2 linked regions of the Macaca fascicularis genome follow. The protein of the gene in region 2 purifies or fractionates together with the protein of the main gene of each other region. This does not show direct contact. Links are inferred from orthologs where the notes say so. Each region holds a gene or a part of one and is shown on either strand. Other genes may lie near its edges. The genes, in order: OSTF1 and MYO1E.

Region 1 (3,823 bases), on a different chromosome or scaffold from region 2:
TACCCAACAGGAGGCCAAAGTACACATGAAGATAACGCACAGAGAGATAGCTCCGTCAGCCTATTCCTTGGTAAGACAAAGGTAAGTACACAAAGAAAGAGCTAAAAGCTGAAAGTGACATCTGAGGAGGAGTGGGTTTGGCACTTGGGGCTGTGGACAATTTGAATTTTAGTGCAATTATAATTTTTAAATTATGTGCTTGTAGTATTTTGACAATACTTCACATGCCCATAAGTTGCTCTGTACTAAAGAGAACAAGCAGGTATGTGTTAAATAATTTTCAGATAAGCAGTCTTACCTGCTGGTTCAGTTCAATATTTGGTTGAGTAAATAGCATTTCTACTATATCTGAAATTCAAAGAGAAAAGATACTTTTTTAAGAATTAAAATTAGAAGCCTGACAAATCTAGGTACAATAATTTTATAAAAGCGAGATTCTTTAGAAGAACCTTCAAGAAAATGTTAACACATTTTCTAAAATTTATAAAATAGAAAAACTTAAGAATCTAAAAAGTGGAATTATTTAGGAAAATACACTTTTTCTAATAGTTTTGGCTTTTGCATTTTCATATGACACAGGAATATTTTTACATTCATTATAATACTTTTCATTCATATAACTAACATGTTTATTAGCTGAAATAAGATAAGCTTCTTTTTAGGAGACAGTTACAAATTTTCCTTTGGCACTGCTATTTAATTTGTTGAGATCTTCATTTCTTCTTGTTGTTGAGTTTATTTCCTTTGTTATAGAGAGACGTAGAAAAGCAGTGGGTAATACATTTTTGGCCAGGAAAAAATACATCTAAAAATTCACTTTGTCATTATTATTGATTATAACAGAAAAAGTATCAATGGAATCGCTAACTTAGGCAAATGTTGGCTTTCTCTTGAATCTAATAGTTTGCATGAAACTTAAAATGCAAATCATAAAAGCAGACCTTGTGAAAAGCTAAGCTAGGGAGTCAATTCTGATCTTTTCTTCTGTAAGATTAGACAGCGGTTTTGTTTTGATATTACTGCTGTTTTCCAGTAACCTTTCTAAGCCTGAGAGAGGAAAGGAAGTGTCCAGTCTTTCAAGCGAGAGGGGCCCATGCGGAGAGACTGGCTGACCACACTCTACCCACTGTTCTACAGAGCTTCCAGGAACAAGGCTTTTGGCCGCTGTTCTAAAGGATTCAAAAACAATAGCCAATGCTTTTTCTTTCTCATTTTTTGTAAATCTGGCTCCCGTAGGTGAAACATATTTTCAGCAGCATAGAAACATATAACAAACAAAATGGAATACCTTTGTGACCCCCGTGGCAAGCCCAGTACAAGGCAGTGCTTCCAGCTTTGTCTAAGCCATTAACACCCACTCTGTTGTCCAAACACTCTCTCAACCAGCTCAAGTTGCCTGAAAGAATTTTACATTTACAAAAACACAAGAAAAAAAGCTTTCACTTTTTATTTTGCTTTTAAATAAATTTCACTGTTTCATTCTGCACAAATTTCCATTTGCAATGGATTAATCAGTAAGTAGTAAATTAAGACCTGCCCATTAATGCATTTATTATGGTACATTTTGACTTCCAGGTTATTAATGTAAAGTATTAACATCAATGTTTCTAATGATAGGTTAATGGGAAGAGTTGCCTAAATGGGTATACTTAAGGTATTTCTATTCTGTTAAAAAATATATATGTGTGTGTGTGTGTTTGTATGTGTATATACATATATTATTTTTTCTTTGTGAAATTCTGGAAATTGAGGAAAAAACAATCAAACCTAAGAACAAGCAGATACTATTCATATTCATATTTACAATGCATCTTCAGTTCCTATAAGAAAGGCTAAATAACCTACTCAAAGCTGCTGCTCTTATATACTAAACTATAACTATTAATTTAAAATCCTCAGGCTAATGTCCCAAGTATCTAATTTACAAAGAATTTTTAAAATGTCAGTTTACTCCTTTTACTTTTTCACAATCCTAACCAATAATTTCCTTGTGTACATTCAGATTTCCAAAAAAATCTAAAAATTGAATGAAATGGAGCTCACTGAGGCTTTACAAAAACTCCCCATTATCTATAGCAGGGTTTCTTGGCAGCAACCCCATTGGCATTTGGGGTTGGATTTATTGTGGGGGTGCTCCTGTGTGCTGTAGGATGTGTGGCAATAACCCCTGCCTCTCCCCAAAAGATGCCAGTAACATCCCTCCAGTCATGACAGTCAACACGTCTCCAGATATTGCCAAATATCCTCAGGGTTTGTGAAAGAGGAATCACCCCTAGCTGAGGACTACTGATCTACAGAATAAAGCCCAAGACAAGATTGACAGTTGTTTGGTCAAGGATCCTCCCCAGGTTCATCCCTGTTGTTATGCCCTCCCTGGCCAAGTGCTCACCACACCAATGCTCTCCTAAATGCTGTACCCACCAGACCCTTCCATTCTTCTGCCCTCCAGTTACCCACCCTGGCCTCTACAGCCTGTTAAACACATTTCAATTACTGTACTTATCATACCATATTTTAATGATCTGTTACATCTCTCTCTCCCCTGCCAGATGTTGAGCTTTGGAAGTCACAGACCATGTCTTTCGACTTGCGTCTCCCCACAACAGTGTTTCTTGATTGACATTTTAAAATTAAAATCACACTGCTCTAGGGTAATAGATGTTGGGACAGACTGTCTCTGGGGAAGGCAGGGATTTAACTGAGAAGGTACAAAGGGAACTTTATAGGATGGTAGAAATGTTCCAGATCTTGATCTGAGTGTTGGTTACATGGGTGTATGCACTTGTCAAAACTAATTGAAATCCGTGCATTTTACTGTACTGTATACCTCAGTCAAAAAGAATCACACCTACCTCTTTTTGCTGCTTCATGCAATGGATTGTCAATAGATTCTGCCTGCTCAGCCACTAGATTGAAAATAAAAAGTGTTAGCCCAATGTTGAATTACCACACAAATGATTTACTGAAGCCACTCATTCACCACAGTCCCCCAGCTTCAGGAGTACCAGGGCCTTCAACACAGTTTCCTTTACTTAATGTGGATAAAAAGTAACAGAAAATCAAATGGATAGTTCTTGCATTAAATGAAGCTGAATTAGGTGTTAAGGGAAAGGAAGCCAGGCAATAACGCAATAACCTAGTAATTAACTGGAAGTATAAACAAAAACAAACAAACCTGCATACCTGAGTTGAATGCATACTTGATATTACTCAAGTATTCAATAAACAAAGCACAAAAATGCAAAAGAAAGCATTTGATGTTCATTTTTACATTTTGTAGATCACTCTGCTTTAAAGATGCCTAAAAGTAATTTTGAGTCTCTTGTGTGTATTTATGTAGGAGTGGGTGGCGGGGGGATTATTTTGCTTCCTGTATTCAGAAAGAACAATCAGCATAGCTACCTGCCTCTAAAAGAAGGTGTGTTTACTGCTGTCCTAGAATCAGTAGGGAGTGTTATTAGGAAATGGAAGAAAAAGGATTAAAACTCAGGAGCCTTGTTTATCAATTCTGTGCTCTTTTGACTTTATTCTGCTGACAACTAAATAAGTGTTTTGTCCATTTGTCCCACTTGCAGCTAGAAGCAGCTTCATGGCGGGAGCCGTGTCTCTCCTCTCTCAAGGTCCCCAAACTGCCACGATAAGCATTTAATGAACGTCACTGCCCCGAACATGAATTAACAAGGTCGTGTTACTCCATCACAAAAGAAAGGGCTAGTCTAAGAAACGATCTGCAAGATTGAGTTTATCAGCATTAAAAACAATTGTTTTAGGAGCTGAAGAAAGTAAAACCATAAGCGTTCTCGGAAACCTTGGGTTAAGAATG
Region 2 (3,823 bases):
CATGTAAAATAACTTATATTGTTCCCTGTATTACTATTGAAAATTCTCCCTGGCATTATTTAAACAAACAAACAAATAAAAAACTACCTCAGGACATAAAACAGCATGCAATATGTATCTCAGTTTTGTAAAACTAAACACACAAATGTATGTTTTCATAAAAACATTCTGAAAGATATAGATATACACAGAATGTTAACAGTGATTGTTTCTGGGCATAGGTACTGATTTTTCTTTCGGTTTATATTTTTTCTAAATTTTTCTACAATGACCATGTTCTGCTTTGGTAACAACAAAAGCAAAATAACAAGTTATTTTTTTAAAAAAGTAAGGAATCTGGTGATCTCAGAGGCGGACAGTCAGCACGTACCTTGAACCTCCTGTCGTACTTGGTGACTGTGTCTGCAAAATCAATCTTCTCCCTCTTGCCCACGAACTGCTGGAGTTCTGGGTGCTCTTCCATCCCAATGTAATCCCCTATAAAGTTCCTGTTAATACTGTTTCTCCTTCTCTCCTTCTTGTTCAGTAAGATGTCTGAGGCTACAATTCCCAAGAGGGTTAAGATGGAAGAAGGATAAGTCAGTCAGAAAAAGGAGGAAAATACTGTGAAAATATACAAATAAACTCTAAATGATGCAATATTTGTAGCATGACATTATATGCAAAATAAAATGGAACTTAGAACTTCACTTAAGCTCAAATTTACTCTTCAGATTTGTTAAAATGAATGAAACAAAATTGCTAAAATACCTTCTTCTCTCATTTGAACATATTTCTTCCGGGCCACAAATTTCCTCCATGATTTCTGTATCACTCGAGCATATCCATCATACTTTCTCTCTCTCATCTCTTCTAAAAGAAATAGCTGTGAATGGAGAGAAGACAAATGTGAGCCAAGCCCCAAGCCCCAATCCCTGAACACTACTTTTCTTGTCATTCCAGGGACACTCAGTTTAGACAATGACATGCACAGGAAGCAACTTCTCTGATTCATGAACAAATACGTGAAATGCTTACTGTGGCATGTTTTTTATCTCCCACTATAAAATGACCTATACCTTTTTTCTTTTAATGGAAAACAATGGGAAATAGAATTTGAGTGTATTCAGTTGGACCTTGCCCTGCCTTGCTACAGTCTCTGTGAGAATCAAATGAGCGATTCAGCGCTTCTCCACTTATCCCCCACCTTCATCCAAAGATATTATTAGGAAGCCAGATCAAGTGAGTAGGTGGAGCTGTTGCTGTTGTTTGGTGCGGCATTTCGGCATGCAGCCTCTAAACAGAATTTTCCAGTTTCTGCAGGAGCAGGGCTTGTGCTGCTGTGGAAGGAGGGCTGCTCTACTTTCAGTTCCAAGAAAATACAGACTTCCTGTCTCAGGATTCACCACGGAGCAGCCGAGCGAGGATAATAACCACAGTGATTGGAGCTGGACTTGAGGTGTGCTAGTTAGGACTTGGATTTGCCCAGGAGGGCTGGAGCTGTTTAGGGGCCACATCAGCCTCTGCCAGGTCTTGAGAGTTGGGCCATTTTACCAATGAATGCTGAGGCTGCACCTCAGCCAGGCTTTGGAATAATAAAGGCGACAACAAACAGCTGTAGTGAGCCAAGTGCCCACTGTGGGGCAGAAGTTACCCAGATGATTTCCACGCAGTTTCATTCAACATCACAGCTACATGAGCCACATACTCTGTCATCTCCGTTTTACAGATGAGAAAACTGGAACTAAGACTGGGTGGGGCTAGAAAGTGAACCTAGGTCTTTCAGGCTCTGCCAGGCTCCTCATTTAGACATGCAAAGCTTTCTCTGTAAACCTGCATTTGATCCACTTGTAAAATGGTAGGAAACCTTTTCATCTACCTTGAGAGTGGCTTCCATGACTCTCTAGGAAAAAAAGAAAATCAACCAATAAGAATCCAAAGTAAAGATGATGAATAGTCATTGCAAAAATGTTCCAGAAGTAAACAAGCCAATGTGGTTTGAAGGCAGCTGGGCTTGATTTGTTGTCTCTGTTTAGCCGGGTATATGCTTGGGAGCCAGACCTATCCTCTCCTGCCACTCAACTTCTCTCCTTCTCATAGCTCCATCTGTGCAGAAACAACAACCCAAACTCCAGACACCAGGGGAGGGGCCACGTAATTCCCCCGGCTTCAGTGCCGTATACAATGGACATAAGGACAGATTTCTAAACCCCAAGTGGAATGCACAGATTAGCAACTGGACAGAAAGTTTAAAATCTGAGCCCTGCAGTTAGTTGCCTGTTGTAAGAATATCCATTGATATTTCTTATCTTGTGTATTGGGTTTCTGAGTAAGTCTCTTTTCCTTCTTCTTTCCCAGAACTATTTTGGGCGTATCACAGAAAATACACTTGTGACTCAGAAAGGATGAAGAGGCAAACGATTCCCAACTTCCTAGAGACTATCTCAAAGATTCGCTGGATTTTAGATTTCTTTTTAAAAGTCCAGGGGGTTAGAAATTAGGGAGGTTCAAGAAAAAAAACCTTGATAACATAGGTGAGGAGAGAATAAAAACCAAACAAAACCAAACAATAACAACAACAGAAAAACACACAAAACAACCCTGAATGAAAAAGCCAAAAGACATGGATACATGTAACACAAAACAAAAACAAACCCCATGGTGTCTGATGTGGGTTTTGTTTTGTTTTTTTTTTTTTTGAGACAGAGTCTCGCTCTGTTGCCCAGGCTGGAGTCCAGTGGCGCAATCTCGGCTCACTGCAAGCTCCGCCTCCCGGGTTCAAGCCCCATTCTCCTGTCTCAGCCTCCCGAGTAGCTGGGACTACAGGCACCCGCCACCACACCCGGCTAATTTTTTTTGTATTTTCAGTAAAGACAGGGTTTCACCGTGTTAGCCAGGATGGTCTTGATCTCCTGACCTCTTGATTCACCCGCCTCAGCCTCCCAAAGTGCTGGGATTACAGGCGTGAGCCACCGCGCCCAGCCATGATGGGGGTTGTTAAAGCAAATAGGTAATTTTGTATATTCAGCACATTTACTATTAAGGTAAAACCACATGGTAGTTTTTCTTTTTTTCTTTTTCCTTTTCCTGTTTTTTTTTTTTTTTTTTAAGAGAAAAGGTCTTTCTTGATCTGTTGCCCAGGCTGGACTGCAGTGGTACAATCATAGCACACTGTAACCTTGAACTCCTGGGCTCAAGTGATCCTCTGACCTCAGCCTCCTGAGTAGCTAGGACAACAGGCGCGTACCACCACACCCAGCTAATTTTAAATTTTTTTGTAGAGATGAGGTCTAACTGACTTGCCCAGTCTTGAACTCCTGGCCTCAAGTCATCTTCCCAACTCAGCCTCCCAACGTGTTGAGATTACAGGCATGAGCCACTGTGCCCAGCCAGATTTTAAAAACCAACTTTTGTGAAAGTATTTGCATGTCAGGGCTAGATGGGGATGTATGCGTTTGGGGCAGGGGAGAGAGCAGAGGTGATGGTGTGCGTGTGTGAGTGCACATGTCAAAGATGGGGGAAAGGAGAGTCAAGTAATGGTAATAACACAATTGAGTGTAAGGCAAGGAAAAGGACAGCCAAAAATAAATCTTGATTTTGAATATAACCCCCTCCAACGCAACTGAATCAGAAAAAATAGTATTACAAATATTGAGGCTGTTTTAATTATATATGAAAATCTCACAAGTTGAAAAGTAAAAGCGGGTATGAAACAAGGAGTTCTCAATTGTACCGATAAATCACTCCATCCCATTTTAGAAAGAACAGGAACTGTTCTGTGGGTTGCTTAATGGCAAATGACACAACATTTTCACTTTATATTTGGAAATGAAAATTCTTGTGA

The links.
Region 1: the proteins of MYO1E (region 2) and OSTF1 purify together in Homo sapiens (co-immunoprecipitation; 3 studies listed by BioGRID and IntAct, counting the BioPlex papers as one, with this or other methods). This does not show direct contact. The link is inferred for Macaca fascicularis from reciprocal best matches to the Homo sapiens genes MYO1E and OSTF1.

The regions. Positions count from the first base shown.
Region 1 is NC_088389.1:105,847,875-105,851,697, reverse strand, and holds part of OSTF1 (osteoclast-stimulating factor 1), read right to left. Parts: intron 2,907-3,823; coding exon 2,853-2,906; intron 1,397-2,852; coding exon 1,289-1,396; intron 349-1,288; coding exon 299-348; intron 1-298.
Region 2 is NC_088381.1:35,649,198-35,653,020, forward strand, and holds part of MYO1E (unconventional myosin-Ie), read right to left. Parts: intron 866-3,823; coding exon 751-865; intron 541-750; coding exon 371-540; intron 1-370. UniProt on the Homo sapiens protein: Actin-based motor molecule with ATPase activity. Unconventional myosins serve in intracellular movements. Their highly divergent tails bind to membranous compartments, which are then moved relative to actin filaments.